Mus musculus: one gene and its partners. The main gene of each other region encodes a partner of the protein of the gene in region 3 in a complex. Links are inferred from orthologs where the notes say so. Each region holds a gene or a part of one and is shown on either strand. Other genes may lie near its edges. The genes, in order: Ksr1, Ksr2 and Map2k1.

The links.
Region 1: the proteins of Map2k1 (region 3) and Ksr1 are in contact, whole or in part, in a crystal structure (PDB 9AXH), measured with the Homo sapiens proteins. The link is inferred for Mus musculus from reciprocal best matches to the Homo sapiens genes MAP2K1 and KSR1. Residues at the interface, in NP_002746.1 of Homo sapiens: Asp217, Ala220, Asn221, Ser222, Phe223, Val224, Gly225, Thr226, Arg227, Ser228, Met230, Arg234, Leu235, Gln236, Gly237, Met308, Ala309, Ile310, Phe311, Leu314, Asp315, Val318, Asn319; in XP_011523731.1 of Homo sapiens: Asn767, Gln768, Leu769, Lys770, Leu771, Ser772, His773, Leu776, Val784, Arg785, Met787, Thr788, Pro789, Asn823, Gln824, Ala825, Ala826, Glu827, Ala828, Ser829, Ile830, Trp831, Gln832, Gly834, Ser835.
Region 2: the proteins of Map2k1 (region 3) and Ksr2 are in contact, whole or in part, in a crystal structure (PDB 7UMB), measured with the Homo sapiens proteins. The link is inferred for Mus musculus from reciprocal best matches to the Homo sapiens genes MAP2K1 and KSR2. Residues at the interface, in NP_002746.1 of Homo sapiens: Val81, Glu102, Met219, Ala220, Asn221, Ser222, Phe223, Val224, Gly225, Thr226, Arg227, Ser228, Met230, Arg234, Leu235, Gln236, Gly237, Met308, Ala309, Ile310, Phe311, Glu312, Leu314, Asp315, Val318, Asn319; in NP_775869.4 of Homo sapiens: Lys674, Arg818, Asp820, Lys821, Leu822, Arg823, Ile824, Gln825, Asn826, Ile837, Arg838, Gln839, Leu840, Ser841, Pro842, Gln877, Pro878, Ala879, Glu880, Ala881, Ile883, Trp884, Gln885, Gly887, Thr888, Met890.

The regions. Positions count from the first base shown.
Region 1 is NC_000077.6:79,144,138-79,147,884, forward strand, and holds the start of Ksr1 (kinase suppressor of Ras 1), read right to left. Parts: upstream 2,337-3,747; 5' UTR 2,143-2,336; coding exon 1,918-2,142; intron 1-1,917.
Region 2 is NC_000071.6:117,759,861-117,763,507, forward strand, and holds part of Ksr2 (kinase suppressor of Ras 2), read left to right. Parts: intron 1-1,463; coding exon 1,464-1,593; intron 1,594-3,326; coding exon 3,327-3,460; intron 3,461-3,647. UniProt on the Homo sapiens protein: Location-regulated scaffold connecting MEK to RAF. Has very low protein kinase activity and can phosphorylate MAP2K1 at several Ser and Thr residues with very low efficiency (in vitro).
Region 3 is NC_000075.6:64,251,136-64,254,882, forward strand, and holds the start of Map2k1 (dual specificity mitogen-activated protein kinase kinase 1), read right to left. Parts: upstream 2,471-3,747; 5' UTR 2,158-2,470; coding exon 2,078-2,157; intron 1-2,077. UniProt on the Homo sapiens protein: Dual specificity protein kinase which acts as an essential component of the MAP kinase signal transduction pathway.

The DNA of each region.
Region 1 (3,747 bases), on a different chromosome or scaffold from region 3:
GGAACCAGCTCCAAGGTCAAACTCCCATCCAAAATGGCATCCAAAGTCCTGTCTTTTCAGGGACCAGAAGGATCTTTCAAATGCATTGCAAAGAACAGGGCATGTGTCTTGTTCACACTGCAAATGGCCCTTGGGCCTTCAGAAGCCACAAGAGATGACCTCAAAATGCACCCAGTAGGGAGGCTACTGCCTAACCAGCTCAGAGGCCTGAACAGCTGGAGACTCTGGGGTATCTGATGTCACAACTTTGTCAAGATGTGCAATCTCAGAGGACAAAGAGAATTTGCAGAGAATAAAGAATAAGCCATTCTACATACAACCAGGGACCCAGGAGCACCTCAAAGGGACCTGGGGAGGAACTACAAAGGCCAACCCAGAACATTCAACAGCCCAACAACATAGCAACTCAACAGATATACATGGCAGGACAACGAGCCCAGAACTATGACACACAGGCCTCCTATTGTATCAGCCTAAAAAGTGAACTTTGCTGGACACACACACTCAGCTGTGTTCAAGAAATCCACATGCAGAGACTCCCAGTGCAGGGTTTTGTTGGTTTGTTTTTAAGGCAAACCCCAGGTCAGTCCTGCTATAGCAACTGTAACAAAAAAACAATAATAATAGCCAGCACTGTTTGGAGTCTCCCAATGTCCCTGGCTTCATGGCTTTTATGAAAATACAACTAAGGGAGAGTCACCCTGAGCATTTTGGATCAAACAAGGATTCAGGCTTGTGGTGCGAGAGGAGGGAGGGCTGGTCTTGTAATAATTACAGCAATCATCAGCTGGCTCTAGGACAGCTGGCAGATGCAATTAGCAATTGTGTGTGTGTGTGTGTGTGTGTGTGTGTGAGAGAGAGAGAGAGAGAGAGAGAGAGAGAGAGAGGAGAGAGAAAGGGTATTATGTATCTAACAAGACATCCTCAGACCTACAGAAACCAAATGTGGCAATGCCAGGGAAAGGCCCTTCTTAGGGAAAGAGTTACTAAATAACCCCTTCACTTTCAAAGGTCTTCCAGTCTCTGGGCAAAAGCAAGTTGGGAAGGCACTAGTTTCCCCCCCAATGTGTAAGGGGGTGGGGGAGCGTCCCCTTCTGAAATGCCAACCACCTTTCTGGCTGGTTCTTCCAAATCGTTTTAATGCTGCACTTCCCAACTGTATAATTTGAGAGAAGAGAGCTCACACATCTTGTTTCCTCATTGCACTCCAGGTTATCTCTGTCAGCAACCCCCTTAAGTAGCCTGTTCTTACCAAAGGTTCCCTTCCCCAGTATAATCCTTCCTAGGCCAAAGCTCAGTGTTTGGGGTGGAGTAGGGAAGTCAAAGGGTAATTTCATTTTAAGCAGTGAACCGCTGTGACATCTCCAAAGACAAGCACCCCAACGCCTGAACAGCAAAAATGCTGTTTCAGCAAACACTTTTTGAAAAGCGGCAGAGACCTGGTGGAAAGGAAAGAAACGGACAACAAGGAGAGTGGGGAGTGAGGGGAAAGTCAGTGCCACCGATCGATCGACGCTCACACTTCAAGGGACGTCCCCCACATCGCCCCAGCCCACGCTACCGGACTTAAAGCACACGGAGAAAAGACCGGCGCGTGATTCAGTGGGACAATGACTACTGTGGGCACTGGAAATAGGGTGAAGGCGGAAAGGGGTTTGCAGTGGGGTGCCCTGTGCATCCTACTCGGCACGCTGGTCTTCGAGACTCGATCCAGTTCCACGCTAACACCCCCCTCCCCTAAATTCTTCCAAAGTGAGAGCTGGTCGTAGGTCCTCACGCTGCCGCATCAGAGAGCTCGGGAAAGGGAGGAAGACTCCAGCCAGCAACCCCGCTGCAGGATGCAACTCGGGAAGGAAAGCAGTGGGGCGGCTCCCGGGCCACCGCCGGGTCCGGACGTGGGGCGCAACGGCCCCTTACCTCTAGGGTCCGGATCTCCTGCTGTGTGAGGTCGTTAGACACTGAGCACTTGGTGCGCAGCCCGCGCAGACTGCCGATGGAGATATCGATGAGCTTCTGCAGCTGGCCGCACTGCTGCAGCGCCCGGCTGACGGCGGCCCCTGCGCCCCCGTCCGCCGCGGCGCCCCCGCCGCCGCCCTCCTTTTTCTCGCCCATCGCTGCCGCGCGCAACGCCGCTCTATCCATGCCTCGGCATCGGGGCCGCTGGGGGCCGAGGCGAGGAGCCCGGGGACACGGGCGCCTCGGCAGGAAAGCCCCGAGCCAGGAAGGCTGCACTAGGAGCGCCCCTTGGCGCCGCCTAAGCCTGCAGTCCCGAAAGCCTGCTGCCCAGTCCGCTCCTCCTCCCGCCCAGACGCGGCGGCAAAGCGAAAGCCTCCACTACCCGACGGCTGTGGTTGTTGGAGCCTTTAAGCGACAGCGGGGGCCGGATCGGGGCCGCGACGCATTCTGGGACTTGTAGTCCGCGCATCGCATCTGCTTTCTGGCCCGCGCCCTCGGGGCCCCGCCCGCACTTCGGCCCCGCCTGACGTCTAGAAGGGGCTGCTCTGCGCCTGCTCCAATTCGTGCGCGTCGTGGTCTAGGGAGTTTGATTCCTTTACCCCCATCTCCCACTACTACACCCTTCTCACACACGCAAGCGCACACACATCAGTAGCTTTCCGAGACTGGCGAATGGGGTGGGGAAGGGGCTGATGGCTCAGACCCAGATAACCCCTGTCTTGTAGGATATTGAGGGTCCTAAAATTTTTGTATGAGTTTAGGGGTTACCATGTATGGGAATGCGCTAAAAGTGTAGCTCAGCGGCAGAACATTTGCCAGGCAAACACAAAGCCCTAGGTTTGATTCCCCAACACTATCAAAAGAAAAGAAAAAGAAACACCCACCTTCATCAAAATCTCACAACACCCGACGAGGCTGTGTTTGTGTTCACATAGAGCTTGACCCTGAATTGTCACACCAAAGTTACTGTGCAGGCAAGGAGAAAGGACTTTCTTCTGTGTTCTATTTACTCAACAAAATAAATTTAGTGCCCCCCATACCCTGTAGATGCCACATGGGCAAAATATTAATTTGTTGAACAGTTCTAAGAGTTTCGAGCCAGAGAGAACCTGGGTCTACCCAGTATGTGAACTTGGACAAATAGCTTTCCTCTGAGTGCCCAAGTTTCCCCTTCACATCAAATAGGGTAGTCATAGCCATCTAGTCTAGAGGGTTTCTTTAAAAAAGTTATGTTTCTAACAGCACCCATATTAACTGCTGGCATGTGCGATCAAGTATACATGCTAGCTCCTTTCTAACTTCACACTATCTAGATGAGACCCTGAGCCTCAGCAGTCAGTGGTCTTAGCAGTGGTGTTTCCCAGTCTGCCCTAATTTAAGCTTTACCACACCTGCTCATTCTCCTCTCCCATCAGTCCACCTCACATGTTCTAGCAATAAAAATGAAGTGAAAATGAGCCAGGTGGCAGTGGCACTCTGGAAGCAGAGGCAGGAGAATCTCTGTGAGTTCCAGGCCAGCCTGGTCTACAGAGCAAGTTCCAAGACAGCCAGGGCTACACAGAGAAACCCTGTCTCGAAAAAAGAAGTAAAAACTGAAGTCAAGTGTACACACTTTTAATCCCAGCACTCCAGAGGCAGAGGCAGGAGGATCTCTGTGAGTTCAAGACCAATCTGGTCAAATAGTGAATTCAAGACCAGCTTGGGCTACATATATAGTGAGGTCTTGCCTCAAAAACAGTGTTGGGTTAGACAGATAGCTCAGCAGTTAGGAGCGCTCGCTCCTGCAAAGGA
Region 2 (3,647 bases), on a different chromosome or scaffold from region 3:
GAGACCTTCTGGGCTTTCCCAACAGCCTGTTGCTGTTGTCCCTGCTCAGCTTATGTTTGGGCAGCACGATTAGGAGCCAGGGAGATAATTCAGCAAGTTTCAGGCCATCTCGGGCTACATAGTTTTGAGCACTGTTGCCCTCGCAGAAATCTAGAGTTTGGTTCCCAGCACCCCGGCAGCTCACAGATGTAACTCCAGAATCTCTGATGGCCTCTTCTGGCCTCCACAGGCACTCACAAGTCACGTGGCTATATAACCCCACACACTCTTAACTAAAAAATAAAACAAAAGTTTAAATAGAATAAAGTTGCCCATGAAGACATGAGTTAACACAGTCCTTGATCAGGCAAGAGAATGCCAAAGTGCTTTGTGTTCCTGAAAGAAAGGCCCGGAAGTCTCCTTGGGGAGCAGGAGCTGGGCAGGGGTGGTGGTGACAGTGACATCATTTCCTGGGATTATTGAGATGTTCCCTGAAGTGAGAGACTTGCTTCTCAGGGAATGGAAACTATTGGCCACAGTATGGCTCAGTGACATGCCAGCTTCCCCAAGTTCATCCACCACCATGTTCACCATGCTCGCCTCATTTACATACCATCCAGCCATCACCCCGACCACATTCAAGTTCTCTGTCAGCATCCTTTCTCCTGTTATTGCATTGCTGTGAGTTAGGGGGCATGTGGCCTGGCAAATATCCATGGAGCAATCCTGGCACCGTGTGCCCTGATGCTTGGTGTTCCTCAGAGACACCCTTCCATAGGCACAGAGAGAAAGGGTGGGGCTAGCACAGCATCATCCCGGTAGCATAGACTATGGCCAGTCTGCATCACACACTATGATTCATCTTTACAGCGCACAGGTATGAAAGTAAGCTCCCGTCCCACTACTTCTCAGCATGTTGCCGCCTTTCATGATCCTCCCCGATCCACGCATATAAAAGACCCCCATATGTATTCCTCATCCCATTTCTTACACTTAGAGTGATCTATTGAGAAAATTTTATGTCAGGTACTATGGTGCTGTTTCACTTAAAAGAGTTACTTACCATCATACATACATCTGCTGACGACTACAGAGATGTTATACCATTTCCAGCTTTTTCAGTGTTACATATTAGATGGTAGAGAACAACCTCAAGAGTAAAGTATTCAAATATAGGGTTTTTTTTCCAAGTATAGAATTTTAATATATAATTGCGAGTGGCCACCGCACTGTGTTAAATTATTCAGGTCCAGTTTGTATCCATCCCGGCATCAAAATAGGTATTCTGAAACAACAAGCCTAATGTCTAACTTCAAGAGGGTTTTAAACAAATTGTCAACCCCCTTGAGAAGAGACTGCAGAGGGAAATGGCCAGCCAGGATGCTGCCCCTGTTGGTGCAGTGGGTGACGAAAGGGGCTCCAGGGTCACAACTGACACACTGTCCTGCAGCAATGCCTCATTAACTGTATCCACTGTCTGACAGCACCATCTGGTATGAGCTCCACGCCAGGGAGTGGCCATTCAAGACCCAACCAGCAGAGGCAATCATTTGGCAGATGGGCACGGGAATGAAGCCCAACCTCAGCCAGATTGGCATGGGAAAAGAAATCTCGGTAAGTCCCTATGAGAGGCAGGGTCTGGGGACACGGAGAGAGGCCACTGACACAGTCCTGAGATTTCCTGGTCTCGGGTATGAAGGTTATAGACACTTTCCCAGAGAGTGGCTAAGAAAGTGACCTGCTTGGAGCTTAAAGGGCAAATTCTCAGCACTATGCCTGCAATTCCAAGTGGCTGCCACCAGGGGCGCAATAACACTTGCTCGCCCTCTTGGCAATGGATTGCTGCTTCAGATAAAACCAAAATAGACCACCTGGTCTGTTACTTTTTAAAACAAAATTCATTAAAAGATCACAAACAGTACTAGCACTCACTTTTCCTTGCATCTCATAATAGTCTGAAACCATTATCTAACTCGAAGTATACTAGACAGAAATCAAGAAGTCTGATTGTAAGTCTGATTGATCTTCCTTTTAGACACAATGGGGGAGAACCAATAAGTCAGGGAAGCAGTAATTACCCCAGGTGTTTGTCAGGACCGCCTACCTCCAGGTTCCTCTTGCTGAGCAAGGAGATGGTGGAAATTAGCTTTTCTCCTCTGTATTTTTGAAGGACACCCACTAATCTAGTGGGATGTAGCTAGCGACTGTAGGATTCCTTCTATCCCTTGCTCAAGAAAAATACCAAGGAAACTCCCTGAAGCTATTACTGGTCTTGACAGGTCTCTGGCCTTCTAGCACGGAGCCTCCCCGGCTTATTAAAGGGTCTTACAAAGTATATGAGAAGAGGGCAAGGAGAGAGTGTCAGTGGGATATGGTGAGTGGGTGGATGAAAGAGGGTAGATGAAGAGAAATAAGGGAAATGATATAAAGGAATGGTTATGCAGATTCATGCTTTGTGGACCGAGAGATGGATGAATGGGTGGGTGGGATGTTGTGTGGATGAACGGTGGGTGGTAAGTGGACAGAGAGATGAGAGAGTGTACATAACTTGTGTGTGGATGAATAAATGGAGGGATAGATGATGAATGAGGATGGCTGAGTTCATAGGGATGGATGGGTGTATGTTGTGAATGGGTAGATGGTAGTGTGAATGGGTGATGGGTGAATAGATAATGGATACTAGAAGAAGAATGAATGGATGAGTTGATGGATGGATGGGTAGATGATGAGTAGACTGATGGGTGGCTGGGTGGTGGGATGGCTGTGTACATGAATGGATAGGTAGATGGTGGCTAGTGAGTGGATGCATGGGTGGATAGATAGATGGATGGTAGGGGTGGCTGTGTATATGAATGGGTAGGTGGGTGGTGGTTAGTGAATGGATAGATTGATAGATGGATGGGTGAATGGGTGGGTGGATGGATCGATGGATAGATGGATGGATAGATGGATGGATGGATGGATGGATGGATAGATGAATACATGGATAGATGGGTGGATGGAAGGATGGATGGATGGATAGATAGATACATGGATAGATGAATGGATGGATGGATAGATAGATGCATGGATGGATGGATGGATGGGTGTGATGGCTGTATACATGAGTGAGCAGATGGCTGGTGGCTGGTGATTGAGTGGATGGATAGAGTGGCTGGGTGGGATAGCTATGTTTATGAGTAGGTAGATTGATCAGTGGGTAGAAGGGCGGTTAATGGAGAGATGTGAAGTGGACCAGGTGGATGGACACCTGGCTGACCCAGAGCCATGCCCAGAAGCTGAGACTTAGACAAGGACTCAGGAAAGTCACCACTTAGATCCAGTCACGACTCTCTGGTCTCTTCTAGGACATACTGCTCTTCTGCTGGGCCTTCGAGCAGGAAGAGCGGCCCACCTTTACCAAGCTCATGGACATGCTAGAGAAACTGCCAAAGCGAAACCGCCGCCTGTCGCACCCCGGACATTTCTGGAAGTCTGCAGAGTATGTGTTTACCTCAGCCCCCTCCCCAGCTGGATTGCCCATTGATCTTTGTCTCCTTTTTTGATCCTCTCCCTCAACCCTTCCCTGAGCTGGCCTCACCCACTCTGTGCACCCAGCACCCAGTCACCACACTTGTCTACCAGCATCTGTCTGTCCAGGGGAGCCTATTTTGACATTGAGGTCCCCA
Region 3 (3,747 bases):
TATTCCTCTGGCACCCTAGTCAGTTCTTTACATGAAAGCTACCTTTCCTTTAAAGGAGTACAGTTACAACGTCAAAAAGAACAAGAGCATGACAACAGGTATCTATCTCCACTTGCAAAATCAAAGATCTGAAGGTAGATAGGGCCCTAACCTTTGACAAGAATCTAGAGTGAACAAAACTTATCCTAAGGGTTGGAAAGATGGCCCAGCAGTTTGAAAACTTAAGAGCCCTTACTGTTTCTGCAGGTGACAGGGGACTACAGTTCAGTTTCCAGCACTCATGGCTCACAACTAGCTCCAACGAATCCAGGGAATCTTGATAGCTCTGGCCTCCAAGGGCACCTCACTCATGTGCACATACCCATGCAGACAAACATACACATGTATCATTAAAAATAATATAATTTACACCCAACCATTGGACTGAAGTCGGGAACCCTTATGGTTGAATTAGGCAAAAAATTAAAGAAGCTGAAGGGGAGAGCAACCCCATAGGAAGACCTGCAGTCTCAACTAACCCAGACCCCAGGGAGCACCCGAACACCGAGCCACCAACCAGGAGCATACACCGGCTGGTCCGAGGTCCCTGGCACATATATAACAGAGAACTGCCTGGTCTGGTCTCAGGAGGAGAGAATGAGCTTAATCCTGGAAAGAGACTTAAGGTTCCAGGGAAGGGGGGGCACTCTCAGAGGCGAGGAGGAGGAATGTGATGAGGAACTGTGGGAGGGGAGACTGAAGGGGGCAACAACTGGAATGTAAATAAATAAAATAATAAAAAAATTTAAAAATAATATGATTAAAAAAAAAAAAAAAGCTTGTGCTAATTCTATGCCAGTCTGGGTTACACATATAGACCCTACCCATCCCACTCCATTGTCTCACAAAAATATTTGTCCTGAAAAGAGTTGCTGAAGAATACCTTACCTTGAAAGAGGGGAGGGGGACTTGCAGTCTGTTTTACAGGGGGTAAACTGCTGTACATACACACTGAACAAATGCTAATTATGCTGCTCAAAGACATATGTTACAAATCCAACGTCAAGGGCAATGTCAAGGACCTAAAGAAAAGATGTGTTTGAAGCAAGTCTTAATAATCTGGCTATGCTCACACAAATCCACCACTACCAGCCCTGCCATTGATACTACTGCAGGTATCAATGACAGTAACCATACCAACAGGTCCTGAGTTATTAAAATCTAGGGAAAGGAGGGAGGGGGGTTACAATAATCTCCAAAGGACAGAATGCCTGAAGCTACTTTCATTTTATCAGATACCTCTCAAGTCTCCTGACCTCAGGGAAAGATGAAGAAGAAACCCAACAGGTGGGCTCAGAAACCCACCTTATGAAATAAACTCTTATCTGTCTGTAAGCAACACTGGCCCCTGCAGATACCGAGCAACCTTTGGCTTTGTTTCCCTGGTCATCGTTCTTATGCCTCAAGTCAATTTCCGGCTCCCGGTCAACTAAGCAAAGCTGGGAGAATAACCGGTGAGGGGATGAACTGTTGCATGAACGGACAGATGAAGAGAGACTCCTCCCTCGAGCAAGGTACTTCTCAAGAAAAAGGCCACGGATGAGGGAGTCCCCAAAGTGAACCAGGGAAAAGCCATGGGGAAATCTGTGAACACACGCCCCCGCTGGCCAGGCGATCAACCGGCCACAAGGCCCCACAGGTGTCAGGCACCAAAAGTAAATGGGGCTCACCCATCCCAAGTCCACACTCAGACCCCGAGGAGGTCTCAAAGGTTAATGAGAAGCGACCTGAATTTGCTCTGCGTCTTGTTACAGGCCAGAATCCCAGAGTATGCCCTTTAGGCAATAGCTAGGGGGGGACGCATTAGGTTTCGTTTTCTTGGGCGAAGATTGATGTCGGTGGCCAGGGACGACAGACACTGTTGGGAAAGAGGGGGATCGGGACTTGTAGGGTGCACGGTCGATGTGAGTCAGGCACCCAATCAGTGCTTAGTCACTGATAGCCCGGCGGCCGGAGTTCCTCGCCCCCCGCCAGCCGGGCCGTACGTGACGAAGCCTCGCCTGGCGGTGGCGGCCTCCCGGCCACTCCCGGTACTCACTCGGCCGAGCTGGTCCCGTTAACCGCCGAGCCATCGGGGGCCGGGTTCAGCTGGATGGGCGTCGGCTTCTTCTTGGGCATCTTGCAGCCGGGAAAGAGCCTGCAACTCAGCAGGGAGCGCGCGGCCGCTTCTCGCTTCCTCCCTCGGCTCTGCCCAGAGTCGGGGCGGCTCGATCAACGCCGCGCTCCTGGGACCCTCCGCCCAACCCACGCGGAGAACCAGCTGCGCGCGCTCGCCGGCCGGGAACTCTCGCCTCAGCACACCGGTTCCTCGGGCTCGGACGGCTCCCTGCGCACTACCCACAGCTCAGCTACAGCCCCAGCTTGGAGAAAGTGCGGCCACCGCTGCTCCGGCGCTCCGAGACGCCGCGCACAGACGTCCCAGTGAGGGACTGGAGGGTGAGGGAGGGGCGGGGAAACGAGCAGGCCCCGCCCCCACGGGGGCTGCAGCGCTTCCCTCACGCCCGCCTGACTCCGCCCCCGTCGCTTCGCCGACAGCCAATGGGGACTAGCCTCAGAGGCAGATGACGCGGAAATACGTCACGGGAGGCGCGGCGCATTGGCTTGGGGCGGAGTTAAAGGGAGGCTTTCCGGGCGCCCTCTGCTGACCAGCGGTATCCAGGTGGCTGCTGTACGAGGTTCTTGCACGCAGGTCATCTTGCCTTTGAGTGGGGCTGCTTGGCCTATTTATCTCAACTCTTCTCCTCCCTTGGGCTGGGTCATTTTGACCCAGACAAAAGTACAAAATAAATAAGAAAAGGACCCCTTTTCGTGTCCTGAGGCCAAGCGGAATTGAGTAAGAGCAAACTAAATTGAACAAAAGCCAGGAGTGCACATTTTTAATTCCAGTACAAGAGGCAGAGGCAGGCTGATGTGTACGCATTCGAAGCCAGCTTGGTCTACACAGCCAGGGATACATTGTGAGACCCAGTCTCAAAATAAAAGAAAACTTGTCAAGAGACTCCTTAAACTAAACTGACATGATTTTTCTATTTTAATTCTACTAAAATGGAGGTACACAGCTGAGAACTCCGTGCTGCAGAGGTGGTAAATTAGTGAAGCCTATTTTGAGAGCAGATTGAAGTCTAATTAATGGGGTCAGCCGACCTAAATGTATCCAATCTCATATCCTCTTTTTCGTTTTCTAAGCCTTTTGGCAAAGTCAAGTTTGGAGTAGCCTGGACAGCTAGCGCAGAAGTTGAGGGTGTTTCTTGCTTTAACAGGACTCTAGTTGGGTTCCCTGCATTCGTGTTTGGGCAGCTCACAACCACCTGTAACTTCCAGCTGTAGTGGATACCATGCCTCTGGCCTCTGAGGGTACATGTACTCTTGTGTACATACCCAAACACACACAAACATCATTAAAAATAAAGTCAGGCACACACTTTTAATCCCAGCACTCGGTAGGCAGAAACAGGTGGAAATCCCTAGTTGGAGACTAACCTGGTCTACAGAGTGAGTTCCAAGACAGCCAGGACTACACAGAGAAACCCTGTCGTGAAAAACTAAAATGGCTGATGAGATGGCTCAGTGGGTAAGAGCACCCGACTGCTCTTCCAAAGGTCCTGAGTTCAAATCCCAGCAACCACATGGTGGCTCATAACCATCTGTAACGAGATCTGACTCCCTCTTCTGGAGTATCTGAAGACAGCTACAGTGTACTTACATATA